Arabidopsis thaliana: one gene and its partners. The protein of the gene in region 1 interacts with the protein of each later gene in a biochemical or structural test. Each region holds a gene or a part of one and is shown in the gene's direction. Other genes may lie near its edges.

Region 1 (7,656 bases):
ATCTTTTTAAATGTTTTAAAATTATTAGTGTAGTTTCTTAAGGAAATATATTAAAATCTAAAATATATGATGATATTAAATTAATTTTTTCTTTTTCAGAAATATCTCAAAATATATTACCAAAATTGAATAAATTTATATATATACAATTTCGAAATCAATAGCCTGATTTTTATGGAAACTAAATTCATTTAGTAGTAGTTAATTTACTAAATTACCCATGTAAAATTTCATTTAGTTAATTTTAAACTACCCTTATAATGTTGTAGTTCACAAAATACTTCCCAATTAATAGTATAAATACTTGTTTTCAATTTTATACTAAAGAAGAAAATTTATAAATAATATCAAATTACATCTTAAATATATTCAATGATATAAATTAGTTATATTTGTTTATATAATCTATCATATGCTGCCTCTCAGATTCATCGAAGGCTTTCCAAAGATTTCATCTACTTTAGCGCTAAGAAATATATCAAACTCACTTGTCGCTTTGACCCAATAAAAGCCCAACGCGGCCCAGTAATATAAGCTTGAAAAGCAACGTGAGAATGACAAATATACCCTCAAAATAAAGAATTGTTTTAAAGACGAAACCAGAAGTTTATAGCCCTTGGATTGATAAATATCCGGCGGCTATATTTACCACTTTTTCTTATAGAGCGTTATGCTGACAAATGTCAACGATTGAGTGGAAAAATCTACTATAACTGAGACATCAGAACCGTAAACGTGTGTATTTGTCTCTATTCTTCGTCACTGCCGCGTAGGTGAAACGGAAAAATCCTTTACAACTACCAAAACCAACGCGGGACTTAAAGTAGCGATTGCGTTGATCTGCAGCACACGGCACGTTTCTTTGATTCCTCCCTATAAGAACGCGTTTCAAGTTTTATTATCATACACTAAACCCATCTCCTATTTATACTTTCTTTTGGGTTTTTTTCTCTCCTTCATTGAAGTAGCGTAACATTGAAGTAAGCGGTAACATTTCGGAAGAATCTCTTTCTTTAGGTGAGTTTTCGTTAATCTTCGGCGAGTTTGGTTAAAGTAATGGTTTTTGTTCTGTCTTTGCATTCTTGAGATCTATTGATTCGGATTTTGGATTCAGAACAATGTTATTGGTTTGCTCATTGTTTCAGATTACTAACTTTGTTTCTTCTTTCTGTGTGTTTTCAGTTGATATGAGCCAACAACGTACACGCTCTCGGAACCCGTTCAAGATTCTGTTTACGAAGAAGAACAATGCTCGATTATCGCCAAAGCTTCTCTCACTGTTGAACAATTTCGAGACTAACTTGACGGTATCGATTAGAGAACTTGTACCAAAGGATAAGAATGATATCGTTAGTGTTTCTTGGATGATACAAGCCATGCAGTCTCTTTGTGAGACACACAAGAGTATCAGGACGCTCGTGAAGGATTTAGAGGTTCCAGTATCGGATTTGGAGGAGAATTTCATTTATATCTTCTCTGACTTTAGCTTGAAGCGGGAACTCTGCAACGCCTTTACCTCAGAGATATATCATTTGGAACATGGCAATCTATTACTAAAGTTTGCTTTTAGTAAGCTGGAGACAAACAGTGGCAATATTCTTCAGCGTTGGAATCAGCACATGGTTTCCAAGAACCCGAGTATCGAAAACTGGGGCGCGGTTTTGAGTAGGCTGGTTGAATCGATGGATCATCATCATCATATCTCCAAGAAGGGGAAGAAGAAATACTCTGCGGAAGGAAAAGTTCTCTTACGAGTTTTATACGGTGTAAAGGTCAAGACTTTATACATATTCAGCGTGTTTGATGCATCGTTCTCGGGTTCTTCCAAGAATCTCTTCTATCTAACCATTCCAAAGGAGATGGAGGAGCTTCCATGGGTTCAAGCTTTCATGGAACTGCAGAACACTATTAACCCGGAGATCAAAAACACATTTTTATCAGACGGATTCACGGTTATAAAAGATCTCGAGGCTGTTGAAACCGGTGTGAAGAAGCTTTACACAGCGGTACAAGAAGGGTCGGTTCCTATTTTGTTAGTGGAACCATTGGAGAAGTCAGTGATAGAACTTTCGGAAAGGTTTGAGCTAGTCTCCAAGGAAACACGTTGCTTGTCGAAGATGGTGATCTCTGCCCGAGACGCATTGTTGGAGAGCCTGTGGACGAAATGCGCAGAAGAGCTAGGAGTGACATTGCCAACGATGGTTAAAAGTGTTAATATAGAGGAAAAGAGCTAAGACTTGTTTGTGAATATAGAGGAAACATGTAATTATGGTATCGTTGATGTTAAGTAATAACAAATGCAGATAAAAATGAGACTTTAAAACGCTTCAAATATTGATAACTCTCTCTTTTCAATCGGTGCTAAGCTATAACTACATTTTCAAGTTAGTCAGAATTGTGCTTTAGTTCATCTTAGTTGATAATGGATAAGTGATGGGTTTGCTTGAGGCCCATTGTAAATCACTAGACCAAAAAAAATCAGTGTTATTTTCATGGTTACATGATCAATCAATCAAAGCAAACCAGATATTCTAGCTATTAATAATAACAAATGCACCAAACTTCAACATGGTTATATAAGTTGTTTAACCATGATTTTTTAAAAAAAATCAAAATGATGTCATTTTATCTTATACATAAACCTTTTTTCACTAATGGTTTTGGAATCAAAGGTCAGTTTTATGGTCAAAAACAATTTGGCCGCCCATTGACTTGTACACCACCAATATACCAAGTCGTACTTAAATTCTTATTGGAGAAAAGTTGTCATCTAGATTCTTTTAAACTTTATAATATGATATCAAGAACATTCCTACATGAAGTCATTAACTTGTTCCATTCTACAAACTTCATCAATTACATTTTTTCGGCAAAAGTCATAACCATATCTAATCTCTACTTCGTGGGATAACGCGATTTAGTAGAAGCAAACTCCAGTAAACAAAACTTAACCAATTGACTAAAAACACTTACCCGTTCCTCAATTACTTAGAGACACAATCATCGGATATACCCAACTCGATACCATAAACAAAATTGAAAATTGACATTACAAAGAAAAAGAACAAAAACCAAAGAAGAAGACGCAAACCCGGTTTAAGGGTCACGGGTGACTCGAGAGGAGACTTCCTCTTTACCGTTCAATAAAAAAAAAAGGGTAAAGGTAGAGACTTTATAACGAAATGTCAACACCCATCTTCTCGATTCCTCAATTTCTCTAGGGTTCTTCGTTTTCGTTGTTGTGAGGAATTTTGCTCCGATGTCGGCGGAGAGTTGTTTCGGAAGCTCGGGTGATCAAAGCAGCAGCAAAGGAGTGGCTACTCATGGTGGTAGCTATGTTCAGTATAATGTCTATGGCAATCTCTTCGAAGTTTCTAGAAAGTATGTTCCTCCTCTTCGTCCTATCGGTAGAGGCGCTTATGGAATTGTCTGGTGAGTTCCAAAATTAATCAGATTGGGTTTTTGAAACATGTAATGTTCACTTCTGGGGTTCTTAGATTTGGGAATTAGGGTTTTGGAATCTGTTGTTATTATAATAACTTGTGTTGATAATTGTTGATCAGTGCTGCTACAAACTCAGAGACTGGAGAGGAGGTAGCTATCAAGAAGATTGGTAATGCTTTTGACAATATTATCGATGCTAAAAGGACTTTGAGAGAGATTAAGCTTCTCAAGCATATGGATCATGAAAATGTACGTGTTACTAATCATCAGCATCTCTGGTTTTTTTTGTGTGAATCTTATATTGGTTTATTGTGCAGGTGATTGCTGTAAAGGATATAATAAAACCACCGCAGAGAGAGAACTTCAATGATGTTTACATTGTTTATGAGCTTATGGACACTGATCTCCACCAAATTATTCGCTCTAACCAACCCTTAACTGATGATCATTGTCGGGTATGCATCAATCTCCATCTTGCTTATATCTAGCAGCTGAATCTTCTGTTTCTACTTTAGAAGCAGCTGTTATTGTGTTAGAGCATCTGATGAGTATTGCTTGATACTTTATAAGTGAGAGCTAATAAGGATTTCGTTTGTTATGCTTTGAAGTTGTGTTTAGTAATTAGTTTCGATTATGTTTTGCAGTTTTTTCTGTATCAGTTGTTGCGTGGGCTCAAATATGTTCATTCAGCTAATGTATTGCATCGAGATTTGAAACCTAGCAATTTGCTCCTGAATGCAAATTGTGATCTAAAGCTTGGGGATTTCGGGCTTGCGAGGACCAAATCCGAGACTGACTTTATGACTGAATATGTTGTTACACGTTGGTATCGAGCTCCAGAGCTGCTACTTAATTGCTCTGAATACACAGCAGCAATTGATATTTGGTCTGTCGGTTGTATACTCGGTGAAACAATGACACGAGAGCCCTTGTTTCCCGGTAAAGATTATGTTCATCAGCTTAGACTCATCACTGAGGTAATCTAGTTTAGTATGTTTCATCCAAAGAATCACCACTTAGTCTCTCTTCACGGTATTAATGAATCTTTGGAAAGCAGCTTATAGGATCTCCTGATGACTCAAGCTTGGGATTCTTAAGAAGTGACAATGCAAGAAGATACGTTAGACAGCTTCCACAGTACCCTAGACAGAACTTTGCTGCTAGATTCCCAAACATGTCGGCTGGTGCAGTCGATTTGCTGGAGAAAATGCTTGTTTTTGATCCAAGCAGACGCATCACAGGTGAGTTATATTTTATATAACTGCTTCTCTGTTTCTTCGGCTATTTTCTGAACATGTTTTTTGTGTGTGTAGTTGATGAGGCGTTGTGCCACCCATATTTGGCGCCGCTGCATGATATCAACGAAGAACCGGTATGTGTGAGGCCGTTCAATTTTGATTTCGAGCAACCTACTTTGACAGAAGAGAACATTAAGGAGCTTATATACCGTGAAACAGTCAAGTTCAATCCTCAAGACTCAGTGTGAGAGAAAGAGAGAGAGATATATATCCTTAAAAGGAAACTCATCAAAATGCTATGTTTTGTTTTGCTCTGCTTTTGTTATCAAATCTCTGATAAGTTTGATAATATGTCTGTAATTTGAATAACATCCTAAAAAATTGGAAAAAAAGAAAAGAACAACCTTTGAGCTGTGTTTTGCAATAGAGTGTATTTAAATTTCCTTACTTTTTAGTCGAAAGAAAATACAGAGAAGTCTTAACTCTAATTACATCCACTAATTATCTTAATGATGGGGTTGAGGTCCGAAGGTGCGTAACCATCTGTTGAAGCGGTCCATAAGTGACAACTCTATCTTCTTCGTCGGAACATTGGGGACAGGTACGGCTTTGGTGAGTGGTCCGACCACGACTCGTAGCTTAAGCCCAGCGTAACAGTGACCTGGAGTCTTAGAGCTAATGAAATAATGGACTCCTGGTTCTGTGAGCGTGACGAGATCGTGGCCTGTCATGTGCACGGCTACGGGAGAAATCGGGTAGCAGGATATGAATTCAAGGTCCCCGCTGATCTCTAAGACGTCGTTGACTTCGTTGTCGTATTCGAAAAGAAGACTGTCTCCGATCGGAAACTGCGTCTTCTCACTCCATCTGTAATAAAAGTAACTTTCTTGCGGAACACTCCATCCCTTGGAGCCACACCAACTCTGTAGATATTTCAAGGAGGAAGGATCTTGCTCGGTGGTGTTGGAGGAATGGGACGTGACGAGTCATGAACGACAAGAATGTCGAGCTTCTGTCCCGATGCGCATTGAGCATGGTTTGAGCTGATGAACTAGTGAAAACCTGGTTCCGTGAGGGTTACGATATCGTGTCCAGGGTTGTAGACGGCTTTAGGAGAAGAAGAGTCGCAGAACTCGTATTCCAAAGCGCCGGAGACTTGAGTGACGTCGTTGAGGTTGTGATTGTGTTCGAAGATCAAAGAATCCCCAACGTGGAACACAAGTTTCTTTTGGCAAACAAATTATGTCTTTTCTTTTGGCGTTTTTCTCATATATATAGGTAGTAAAAGCAATGGAATGCTCACGATTCCTTGAAAAAAAAACAAGATCTTATTTGCAAAACAAAACTAACAAGAAACAATAACGATTGAGAACCAAGTCTCTATAGTTGATAAACTGGGCTTATGAAATCTTGTAGATTGTCTTGTTATGCCCATAAACTGAAAATACACGCCAAGCACATCATCTTCATCTCCAGCAACACGTACGTCGACACACATCACAAGTCATTACGGCATCAGTAGCTTAGTTACATAATAGTACTATATATATTCTCCAGCATTTTATTCATACGTTATAAATATTTCTTGCTGATTATATAGCTAACAGTAATTAGAGACGGAAATGACATCAAAGTCAACTCCCACATAAAGCTTATCCTTCACCAAATAAGGGTCATCAAGTTCCCCTAGAGGCATGAAATCCGCAAAGCCATGGCGGTCATCAGGTTCTGCACCAAGCCAACCCGAAACTATACGTACCAGGAGAAAAAGATTAGTACTGTATTTAACCATCATGCATCACAAGACTTTCCAAAACATAATAAACACATACTTGTTTTCTCAACATGATTCCTGCTAACTTGATCCAATACACGCAGCTTGAACCTCGCGTAAGTTTTAGTCTTTGGTGCATTATTGACAAACCCTAGTGCCGATAGATACACAGAAAATGATTTGTCTTTTTCACCCATAGACCCTCTTGGATGAACTTTAATTCTCCTGATCAAATATATTGTGATGCATTTTTATTAGTATTATATATAAGTTGTGTTATGTTTTTGGGAAAAAGGAGGAATATAATATCAACCATTTCCGGGTTCCAACGACAAATTCATTAGACTGATGAACGTTTCCAGGGTTGAAGGACGAGAACATGGTCATCATCCAAGTGACTCTGTGATTAAGAGGCTTCTCTATTAAGCTAAAACTTTCCGCTGTTCCGGGTTTAGCAGGTTCAATCCCATGGAACTTGACACCAAACATACAACAATCTCCAATAAGGAAACCATTTTTCTTAAGATCAACAAGAGATATGAACTCACGAAACCCCTCACTACCCAGTTCTTCATTGGTTTCGTATTCATCTCTTCCTGCACATCAACATATATGGACGCCGTATCAAACCTATATACACACAGATGTATGCGTGATTGAATGAAGCAAGAGAGAGAGAGAGAGAGAGTGAGAGAGACCGTGAGTGTGCCATTTTGGCTCAAGTTGACTGACGGCAAGAAGCTCATATGTAAGCGTATCATATACCGGAGCTTGATTCATTAAGTAGAGGGAGACATAATGTGTCCCCTTAGCATTTGTATGGCCATTTGGGTGCACAGAGAGTTTCCTGTTACCAATCAAGTCGTTAAGAGGATGATCACCATCTTTGTTTTCTTTTGTATGTCAATAAGCATAATAACAAGATTATAAACAACTTCACCATTTGTGACCAGCGAGATCGAAAACAGAGGACTCGACCTTTTCGATTCCATGCTTTCTGAGTAAAGAGAAATGGTCTATCTTGAACATGTGAGCTGTTGCGTGACGTACTTTGAACAGTCTCACCATTTCTGTCAAGAATGAGAAAATTATTAAAACTTGGAACTCATAATGATACTAAGAGATCATCAGACACAACATAAGTTATGTTTTCACCTTCAAGCGAGATTGGTCGCGACATTGTAAGAAGCTGCAAATGAT
Region 2 (5,069 bases), on another chromosome or scaffold:
TTTTTTATTTTAATATCTCTGCCAGTTATGTTACTTCTTTTACAAGAACATCACATTTGGTGTCACCATTTTTTTCTACGACAATGCCTACTTCCTACACATCCTTCTCTGCTCAACCCACAAATAACAACTGGTTTTTGTTGTTCAACATCTTCTTCTCTTCCCTTCTTGTTATTGCTCTCCGATTTTTCGATCAAGATGTCTCAGATCGCTACAGTTACAAGGTATCCAAAGTTACCACATAAACTCTATACAACAACCCTAAATTCCTCTGAATTGCGAGTAAAGTTCTATGTTTTTTTGTTTGCAGTTCATGTTTCTATACCAAGGAGTTCAAAATCTCCTCTGTATCTTGAAGAGAATCGTCCGATAGATGTTTAATGAAGTCTTTACCGCGCTCGCCATTTTTTATCTCTGCAAGGAATCTCTAAAACACCTGCTTTATAACTTGAATGTCAAATCCACATGCCGAGGAGAAATCCTCAGCAGGACAATGGTTTGAAGTTTTTAGAGAATGCATTCCTTGTGAAAAAACAAATTGGATTAAAGTTTAAGAACATCAAAACTAACATGAAAGGTGAGATTTTTTTGTTAAATACTTTCAGATGCTACTTTTTCTATGTTGTTTTTGTAATAACTTTTTCAACTTCCTTTTCTTAATCTTTTAGAGAAGGCAGTCCTTGTGGAAAATGAAATCGGATTAAAGTTTAAGAACATCAAATTTGAAGTGAAAGGTGAACTTTTTTTGTTTGTTTGTTAGTTTCATATCCAAATTTTGGTAGTTTGAAAACAAAAGTTCCAACTTTTCATAGTCACGTTCATATCTACATCTATAATAACTGTTAGTAGTTTCAAATGCAACGTTTTGCTCTGTTTTATTTTGGAACCATGACAATAGAAATTGTTTCGTTTGCATGTATAACCAGACACTAGTAAACATTCTCTAGAAACTATGCAAAACACTAAACAACTCAATGACTATGAATATGTTAGAATTTTTAAAACTTAGCTTTCTTCATACCAAAATTGTAAATACAAAGCCATTGAGTCTACCTTCGACCTGTAGTGTTTGGTGGATGTGGTTCAGCAAGGCGAGGAGTACCCATGTCCGTCGTTGCCAGCCCTCCCTGATACTAAGGCATCGTCAAATTCGGACCTCGATATGGCGCCGAACCACGAGTACCAAGTGTCTGTCAATTCCCCCACACTACTCAACGACAGTACTGGAGAGGTTTCTAAAGGACCATGTTGGAGTCATCTTCTATGAGTAGTTTATCTTTTTAAATTAGTAGCTTTCAAACAATCCTAAATTTGTAGTTTTTAAACTAAATAAAAATTTAAAAAATATATCTATAGTTATTAATTTAGGGAATAAGTTGAAAATAAGTCACTTTTTCAAAATAAATTTATAAAAGTATTCACTTTACTATTATAATATACAAAGTAGTCATTTTTCGTACACATAAATTTATACAATACATTCAATATACAAAGTATATATATTTATATATATATACTAAAAGTATTGTACATATGTAAGTATACGAAAAATGATTACTTTACAATTATAAATAATAAAATGACTACTTTTAAAATTATGTTTTAAAAAGTAACTACTTTCTCAATACACTCTTATTTTATTCGAATTGTTTGAAAATATTATTACACTCGAAAGTTTCAAACTTTGATCAGCTATTTTCTTGGACCAAACTAGAATTGATATGGGCTTTGGATAAACAAATGAAAGCCTGTTAGCAACCATCCTCATAATATATGTTCATTGTTATCATTATCTATATATGGAAAAATTATTAGACTAGTAATATTTTTATGTAGAAATGTTTTTAACCAAAGCCAGTTTATTTTTCTTTTATCAGGTAACTTAATAAAATCATTTATGTTTCAACGAGGACTAGTATGTTTATGTAGATCTTATTTGGTCATAGGTTCAATTTCGTCTTCTTTTTTTGCTGACAAAAGACAACTAAATATCTGATTTCTATGGGTAGATACTTAATTACTTAGTCTTCTAAGTATATATATTTAACTCACCCTATACAATATACATGTTTTTGTTTTTTTTAACAACTCATATGATAGGTCTTAATTAGGTTTGTTACTTCTATGCATGCAGACGTTAATAGCTTAGCTAGGTACTAAGAAAGAAAGAAATTGATTGTTACCATAATTTGCAACTTCTAGAACTTGTAAAACTTAAATAGAACTATCACTAATAATTGTATGTTAATGATTGACAACATTACTAATATATATAACTGTGTGCCGTTGATAATGTTGATTCCTAAGATCTTTCCTACTAATTAATTATCTAACATTAAGACAAGAATGGAAGTTTCCTAATTAAGCATGTGCTGTAACAATTTGGTTGGAGACACAAAAAGTCAACATTTTTTAAAGTCAAACTAATCGTTCTGATGACTTTTTATTTCTTTCTCTTTTTTGTTGTTTTGGTCAATTTTCTCAGTCGCCAAAACATTCAATTCCCAAACCAAACAGAGCAGAAGAACAACAAGTTTTGATTCTAAAAAAGGAAGCTTCCCAAGTATGGATCCGTCGGAGTATTTTGCCGGCGGCAATCCTTCCGATCAACAGAACCAGAAGCGGCAGCTTCAGATCTGTGGTCCTCGTCCTTCACCTCTTAGTGTTCACAAAGACTCTCACAAAATCAAGAAACCTCCAAAACACCCTGCGCCGCCGCCAAATCGTGACCAACCGCCGCCGTATATTCCTAGAGAGCCGGTGGTTATCTACGCCGTATCCCCCAAGGTTGTACACGCAACCGCGTCTGAGTTCATGAACGTAGTCCAGCGACTCACAGGGATCTCCTCTGGTGTTTTCCTCGAATCTGGCGGCGGTGGAGATGTTTCACCGGCGGCGAGGCTAGCGTCCACGGAAAATGCTAGTCCAAGAGGAGGAAAAGAACCGGCTGCGAGAGATGAGACGGTGGAAATCAACACGGCTATGGAAGAAGCAGCTGAATTTGGTGGTTATGCTCCGGGAATACTCTCGCCATCTCCGGCCTTGTTGCCAACAGCTTCTACCGGGATATTCTCTCCGATGTATCATCAAGGTGGGATGTTTTCGCCGGCTATACCACTGGGATTATTCTCGCCGGCGGGATTTATGAGCCCGTTTCGAAGTCCTGGCTTTACTAGTTTGGTAGCTTCACCAACTTTTGCTGATTTCTTTAGTCATATTTGGGATCAAGATTAGATTTTTTTTTGGTGTTTTGCTCTGTAATTTTTTTGTATTATGTATTTTGACATATCCAATGTAGTAGCCCAAAGGGTTTAAAATGAGCTTCATGTATAAAAAGATTAACTTTCAAAAATTTCAGACAGATTCCTAGAATGTAAAACTTGTCTGCAAACTAATATATACAGGAGTTACAAGATTCTCCTGACCTAAGATACTCTAATAAGTTTTGTGTTTTGAGAATAGGCTTCTTCATGAGGTTGTTGTAACAATGGAGTTCCAAGTTCCTCCTATCAATGTACCAACTCTCTCTCCTTTGATTGCTTTGGCGATGTTCCCAGGTTCCGAAAGATTGAATACCACAACTGCAAATTGACACAGAACTAAATAAGCATTCTTGTTGTATTTTAGATGATCATGTATGCATGTGGTCAAGGTTTGAGAGAGTGTTATAGAAAACAAGCCTGGGATGTTATTTTCTTGGCACAAAGTGATAGCAGTCATATCCATTACAGAGAGGTCCTTTGAGGTGACCTCTTGGTAAGTTAGTGAGTCAAGCAGACGAGCGTTTGGGTTTCTTTTAGGATCATCGTCGAACACGCCATCAACATTTGTTGCTTTCAGCACTACTTCTGCATTAACTGTGTCCAATGCGAAAAGTTTTTTTTTAGTGTTGCGAATAATCATTGGAGAAAACTTAAACGGAAACCACCTCTTTACTTACTTTCAGCACATCGAAGAGCCGCTGCAGTATCGGTGGTGAAAAATGGATTGCCTGTTCCAGCTGCAAATATTACAACCCTTCCTTTTTCTAGATGTCTGATTGCTCGTCTTCTTATGTAAGGCTCTGCGACTTCCGACATGCGGAAAGCAGTTTGAACACGGGTTGGGATGCCAATACTCTCCATTGTCGCTTGAAGAAATATTGCATTCATCACAGTTGCCAGCATCCTATCCAATTTCAGATAAACCAATGAGACCAAAAACCTCCAGTAGAGGAAAATTCTGGATCTTCTCCGAGTAAGAAGAAGAAGATCCTTTGACACAAAGGCGTATGATTACCCGATATAATCAGCAGAGGAGCGATCAAGGCCACTGCACCCAGCCCAGGTAGATCCACGAAAGATATTTCCTCCTCCAACAACTATAGCAACCTATTGTAAAGGCGTAAGAAGATCAGACAGAGCACACACAACATTGCAATGATTCTTAATGACCCAGACACATGATCTGTTGCCGTATAGTATGTTTAAATCATAACAAATTTCTAACTTTAAGTTGTGTAATGCCATATATCTCCACCCCTTAACTTAAGCTCCCGTTTCTTGTAAGTTTGAGCTAATTGATTTCCAGCATATTTGGTTACATCTACACAGGCAATTATCAAATACTTCGGGTATTATACTTATGTATAGGAAGAACTCAAAGCTGAATACATATCCACTAAAAAATTTTGAATCCAATTATCACAATGACAACTAGAACAAGAATGTTTGAATGAAGCGTTTAGAGAATAACCTCAATGCCAAGTCGAGTCACTGCTGCAACTTCCCTTGCAATCGCCATAGTAACCTAATTAACGGGAAACTGGATGAGACTTCTGAAGTAAGGAAACAGAGAACAAAGAAAGCAAAACAAGGAGGGTTCTTTTGGTATCACAATAAACCTTTGGGTCGATATTTTGCTCCTCGTCTCCAGCAAGAGCTTCTCCACTGACTTTGAGTAAAACCCTTCTCCATTTAAGCGGTGGTTTGGATGTTCCATCAAAGGAAGGCAGTCGTGGGAAAGATGATTGCCCGTTTAAGCTACTGAAAATTACAGATGATCGCAACAGAGTATTAACAAAATCAGCC
Region 3 (5,808 bases), on another chromosome or scaffold:
GTCTTTTGCAGATCATCCAAGACACCTTTTGCTATCTACGCAGATGCAGTTTCAGACACCACATCAGGGAATCAACCAGAGTCAGACAAGTCAAGACCAGAGTTTGGTAGTTGGCTCATGCTTGGAGGCAGAGCAGAGAGGAACAAAGAAAACAATTCTTTACCTAGAAAATGGGCATCATTCAAGGTTTTCCCTCTACCCTCCTAAACAAAACTATCTCACTTGGCTCATACTATCTCTATAAATTGATCACTAACTGCATTTATATTTATTGTCACAGGTTCCTCAGAAACCCATTGTGAGAACTGTTGCAGCAGCATCTGCTTCCACCTTTGAGGTTTTTGTCGATGAAGAAGAATGTACAGAGTAAGTTTGACTAATTTTTCAGAAGTTTTCTGAACAAAACATGTTTCCACCATTAACATGATTCTGAAATGCAGAGAGGAAGAAGAAAAGAAGAAGAATGATGAAACTATCTCATCATCATCAAACGTTCTGCCCCTTAATGGCGGCCGTGAGATAAAAAAGTAAGCAAAAAAATTCCCCTAAAGATTCATTCACCAAACAAATATTATATCATGACTTGGTAGAGATCTAACAATGGTTACTTAAAAAAATGCAGAGAAACAGAGCTGCTACGACAGAACCCTTTAAGACATTTCCCACCCAACAGCTTCCTACGATGATGATATTGGACTTTCTTCTCTACACGATCTTATGGTTTGAGATTTGAGCTTTTGTCTATAAAGCTCCTTGTGTGTTTTTGCCTATTTGGATTTGTTTTTGTGATGTACTGGGATATACTATCCTACTATGTACCATGATGTGCCTTTCATGTTTTGAAATTAATGTGACTTGTCTTGTTTCAATCCTTATATGATTTGTTTCTCCTAAAGTAATCATTCTACAAAAAAAAACTTTATATCAATTTCCACTAATTAACCTAGATTACCACTTATGATTAAACTTAAGGAATCATTTTAATAATGCCCTAAATGTGGCCAAGTCATTGGTTTATATGGCAAGTGACTTTGTGATCCCAATAATTTTTTGGTCTAGTCGTCTAGGCAACTAGCGTACCTTTGTTTTAGAAAAATTCTAGAGTTTCATTGTAAATCAATGGATACGTATGGATGGGTACAAACTAGAAAAGATAATCAATCCATTGGGCATTTCTTCCATAGAAAATAAAGTGGCTTTAAACGGATGGGAGGGGGCATAAAACATAATCAAGCATTAATAGCCATTTAAATTAATGATTAAAAACGAATGATGCGATTTTGGAGATAGACTTTGAGTGGTAAACAAGGGCAAATGAAAAAAAAAACTTGGGAATTTTATTTGGTGTTAGTGGTAGGGGCATCATTTCATTTCACAATCTACCCTTTAGGGGTTTTAAGGGTTCCCTTTAATGCAAAGTATTGCATTAAGTACGTAGCTAAACATTTATACGACTGAGTCAAGATTTCTAATAAAACAAAAAACAAATTCTATGCGTAAGATGAAATTCTATATTCAAACAGAAATGGTATTTACGGTATCGATGTCTCTTGGTTTTTATTTTATTGGCTTTAGTTTCATGTCCTCTTACTAGCAAGCTTGAACAAAACATTGGCATTGGTTCTCTTTCTCCATCTCAAAGAACATTATGGTTTAATCTTGATTTGATTTATACATGTTTACCCTTAGTCATGTGTGTTTCATAAATCATATCTCCATTTTGGATTTGATCTATTTCATAGAAAACTTTGCTCTATAGTTCTAGAGCTCTAGAGTTTCTCTTTCTACTTGTCAAAAATCATAAACCTTAACATGTAGTAGTGATATCTCTGTTTTTCTTTTCTTCTTACAAACCTTAAACAACAAACTTTTTTTTATCATGATTTTTTTTCTTATTTTTAAACCCTCAAAAGTGAATATATTGATATATCTATCTCTACTCGTCAGCAAGCTTTCCTCATGCTTCTCTCGTCATTCATTTGCTTTTTCATAATGATGTTGTCTTATTGTCTACATTGTTTTAAGGAACGGTTAGCTACGATTTGTTTATACATTTAAGTAGGCTCAGAATTATGCCAACAAAAGATAGTTTCAGAGTTTATTGCAACAAAAAATAGTTTACAAAAAGGGTCCCAAAACCCATTTAATCATTTAAATGATTTAGGGTACTGTTACTAATTATGATATGTGACTGTTGAAAACTTCTACAATGTTTATAGCATTTTTTGTAATGGAACTCCCAAAAACCCTGAGGGCTCTTAAAGATCACTAGGTTATTAAAGCAGAGACTCACTAATATTGTCATTATCTTAAGCTGACAAAAACGTAGAAAAATCCAAAAAAATAAATGGCGGAGGAAATTGACCAAAACGCATATATAAGGATTATGGAGTAAAAGCAACTTATGGTAGTTGGAGAGAAATTAACCAATAGAAATACTCAAAGGGCGCGTTTATTGCCATAATCTACGCCCCCTCCATATTTACACACAACCATATCATAATATTACCAAATATGAAAATTATATGTGCATTATCTTTATTACATAAACAATAAATACAGTTTATTATTAATATAAGAAAAAGATAATTTTTGATTTTATTTTTAGAGTGATCTTGGCCGTAGAAAATGAGGTGATGAAAGTGATGTGTCAAAAAAATCAGGAAATAGCCATATCAAGCATGTAATCCCTAATTACGGTCTAAAGGAATTAAAGATTACGGTCTACTTAAATTCAACATATCTACATGAACCTTATGAAAGGCTTAAGGGACGAAATTAAAATAAAATGATAACACAAGGGTCAATTTTATCTACAGTCACCAAATTAAAAATCAGATTAAGATACATTAAAAAGTCATTATCTCACAAAATAAATCTTTTCTTTGCTCTTTCATTTGTAGCTCCTCTCTCTCTCCGGCGCTAACGGGATGTCCTCACCATAACGCCGTTAAGTCTGGAACCCGTTTGAACGGAATTATCAAAACGGGAAGGAATATTCCGTTTGAATGGCTCTGGAACAGTTAGGATTAGGAGTGAGCGCCGTTGACGGTGGAGAGAACAGTAGCGCGCCGTCAAATGACGGTGGAGATGACGGCGTTAAGACGGCGAGACTTCCTCGTTGGACGAGACAAGAGATTCTGGTTCTGATTCAAGGGAAGAGAGTGGCGGAGAACAGAGTCCGGCGAGGGAGAGCGGCGGGTATGGCTCTCGGGTCGGGTCAAATGGAGCCTAAATGGGCTTCTGTTTCGTCTTACTGTAAACGTCACGGTGTAAATCGTGGGCCGGTTCAGTGCCGGAAAAGATGGAGCAATCTCGCCGGAGATTATAAGAAGATTAAAGAATGGGAGTCTCAGATTAAGGAAGAGACTGAGTCCTATTGGGTTATGAGGAATGATGTTCGTAGAGAGAAGAAGCTTCCTGGTTTTTTCGATAAGGAGGTTTATGATATTGTTGACGGTGGTGTGATTCCTCCGGCGGTTCCGGTTCTTTCGCTTGGATTGGCTCCGGCGTCAGACGAGGGATTGTTGTCTGATTTAGATCGGAGAGAAAGTCCTGAGAAGTTGAATTCTACTCCGGTGGCTAAATCAGTTACTGGTAAAATTCAGATCAAAGTTTAAGTTTTTATTTTGTATGTTCATCAGAATGATTCCATTTCTTATGAAGTTCAATTTTTTTGATGAAGATGTTATAGACAAAGAGAAGCAAGAAGCTTGTGTAGCAGATCAAGGTTTGTTTATCTCTCTGTGTGTATTTGCTTGATCTATTGCTCTATATGCTAATCTCAAACTAGTTTTAGAGCTCTAGAGTGTGTTTCTCTTGAGTCTTGACTATGTAGTTATGTTGTCATGTAGATAAATGATGTTTTCGTATTCTAAAATGCATCTCAAATTGTGTTATAAAAGTAGTTTAACAATCTTCCCTATGGTGTGTGATCTTTTCGTTTATGTTGAAGGGTCTCTATGTTCTTGTTTTTATACTAAAATGTTGAGTTTGAACTTGAAGGTAGAGTGAAAGAGAAACAGCCAGAAGCAGCAAACGTGGAAGGTGGATCGACATCACAAGAAGAGAGGAAGCGTAAACGGACATCTTTTGGTGAAAAGGAAGAGGAAGAAGAAGAAGGAGAAACAAAGAAGATGCAGAATCAGTTGATAGAGATACTAGAAAGAAACGGGCAGTTGTTGGCGGCACAGCTTGAGGTTCAGAATTTAAACTTAAAACTAGACAGAGAGCAAAGAAAAGATCACGGTGATAGCTTAGTCGCTGTTCTCAATAAGCTCGCTGATGCTGTGGCAAAAATCGCGGATAAGATGTAGATTTAGTAAAAGTTAGTTGTATATCACTTTGGCCATTACTTCTCATTCTTCTTCTTCCTTTTTTTTCAATCATTTATCACCATTGTTGATTGAATATTGATGCCACCACAAGAGGTTATTATACACATCTTATATAAACATTGAGATTTATACGGGTTTAGGATATCATTTGCCTTAGTGTTACCTTTTGACTGATTTGAACATCTTGATGTGTTGATGATTTGTTGCATAGCATGAAATTGAGTTTTCATCTTTCTTGCTTCCCCTAACAACAGGATTAATAACATAATATTAAATGGTATACGTAGTCATATGACCCTTGAACATATACAAATAGTTACTCAATTGGTTAGAAAATGACTTTGGTATATGCAGATTGAAGATCTGCCACTTTATGTTGTTTGGTAATCTGATAGCTACTTTGAAAACAATTTCTGTATTTTAACTTCTTCTTTTATAATCTATAGAAATTAAATTGAAACCGTATCTAACTCGAACCAATTTTTTTGTCTGGATTGTAGTGCAACATGAACTATATTTAACATATTATCGTGAGCTTGAATTTGAAACCAAAAGTTGTACTAATACCAAAACTCAGTGATGCAAAATATCAAATAAGTTCCCATATTACTTTGGATTATCTTTCACAAAATAGTTGTTATGCACATAATTCCAGTCCAAATTTGTTTTTTTCGTCAGTTATAATAAAAAGACAAGCAACAGTTTCATAAAAGCCGCACGACATATTTGACCACTGAAATTTATGTACGAACTTCGACTTCCATAGAGGTAAGTTAACTGACAAACTTTTCGAGTCAAAAACTTTGGATCATCAGACACAAAACTAGTAAAGAAAATTCACAGAGATGTCTACTTTCGTCATTTAAAATACCCCTCATCTGGCGCCAATCACACGTCGCGCTGACATAATTTACCTCGTTCGGATCGCTGACGTGTACGGTCTAGATTAAACTCCTTCTCTCAACTAGATTCTCCTTCTTCTTCTCTCTCTCTCCCTTCGTCTATATTTCACATTCTCTTCAAGTTTCGGCCTTCGGAGAAAATAATAAGCATCTCAAAATTTGGATCTGGAGAAGAAAATTTGAAAACTCTCTTGTTCTCTCAAAGGTGGTGGTAGATCTCGAATTGGGAATTTTCGAAATTGTGAATCTTTGAAAAAAAAAGAGTTAAATTGACAAAACATTTCCTTAACTTGAATCTCTGTTTTTTGAATCGTTTAAATTAGAGAAGAACCCTAATTTTTTCTGTTTTGGAGATCTCTTCTCTGGACCGGGGACTAAAGTGGGCGATTTTCGAATTCAAGGTTTTTGTTTCTGAATCGGGTTTGGATTCGTTTTTGAGCAAAGTTTTGAGATTTTTACATGCTTGTAGCTCGATCTGGTTGTTCTAGAACCCTAATTCGAATGGGCAACGATGAAAACTTGATGGTAATGGTGGATGTTGAGGAAGGTGAGATTCCTGATTCTGTCAA

Evidence for each region.
Region 2: the proteins of MPK4 (region 1) and MKS1 form a complex in vitro, tested with the Arabidopsis thaliana proteins (one study listed by BioGRID).
Region 3: the proteins of MPK4 (region 1) and AT2G33550 form a complex in vitro, tested with the Arabidopsis thaliana proteins (one study listed by BioGRID).

The regions. Positions count from the first base shown.
Region 1 is NC_003075.7:563,960-571,615, forward strand, and holds MPK4 (MAP kinase 4), read left to right. Parts: upstream 1-2,957; 5' UTR 2,958-3,259; coding exon 3,260-3,432; intron 3,433-3,563; coding exon 3,564-3,693; intron 3,694-3,761; coding exon 3,762-3,899; intron 3,900-4,088; coding exon 4,089-4,421; intron 4,422-4,501; coding exon 4,502-4,685; intron 4,686-4,757; coding exon 4,758-4,930; 3' UTR 4,931-5,188; coding exon of another isoform or gene 5,189-5,605; 3' UTR 5,606-5,763; coding exon of another isoform or gene 5,764-5,907; 3' UTR 5,908-6,045; coding exon of another isoform or gene 6,046-6,117; 3' UTR 6,118-6,282; downstream 6,283-7,656. Other genes in the region: BPS3 (BPS1-like protein), read left to right, coding at 1,188-2,234; AT4G01380 (plastocyanin-like domain-containing protein), read right to left, coding at 5,189-5,605, 5,764-5,907, 6,046-6,117; AT4G01390 (TRAF-like family protein), read right to left, coding at 6,283-6,431, 6,515-6,681, 6,770-7,052, 7,155-7,303, 7,397-7,526, 7,612-7,636. UniProt on the Arabidopsis thaliana protein: The ANPs-MKK6-MPK4 module is involved in the regulation of plant cytokinesis during meiosis and mitosis. Essential to promote the progression of cytokinesis and for cellularization (formation of the cell plate) during male-specific meiosis.
Region 2 is NC_003074.8:6,427,920-6,432,988, reverse strand, and holds MKS1 (MAP kinase substrate 1), read left to right. Parts: upstream 1-2,474; 5' UTR 2,475-2,565; coding exon 2,566-3,234; 3' UTR 3,235-3,455; downstream 3,456-5,069. Other genes in the region: AT3G18700 (uncharacterized protein), read left to right, coding at 84-224, 311-364, 490-577, 669-734, 1,092-1,267; AT3G18680 (Amino acid kinase family protein), read right to left, coding at 3,469-3,857, 3,941-4,167, 4,279-4,370, 4,735-4,788, 4,883-5,024. UniProt on the Arabidopsis thaliana protein: Regulator of plant defense response. May contribute to MPK4-regulated defense activation by coupling the kinase to specific WRKY transcription factors.
Region 3 is NC_003071.7:14,208,688-14,214,495, reverse strand, and holds AT2G33550 (Homeodomain-like superfamily protein), read left to right. Parts: upstream 1-2,802; 5' UTR 2,803-3,008; coding exon 3,009-3,597; intron 3,598-3,685; coding exon 3,686-3,730; intron 3,731-4,005; coding exon 4,006-4,316; 3' UTR 4,317-4,514; downstream 4,515-5,808. Other genes in the region: BUBR1 (BUB1-related (BUB1: budding uninhibited by benzymidazol 1)), read left to right, coding at 12-186, 281-366, 441-527, 623-686; CPL3 (C-terminal domain phosphatase-like 3), read left to right, coding at 5,699-5,808. UniProt on the Arabidopsis thaliana protein: Transcriptional repressor that binds DNA and plays a negative role in regulating microbe-associated molecular patterns-(MAMPs, e.g. flg22, elf18, chitin, and LPS) triggered immunity (PTI) by negatively regulating immune gene expression.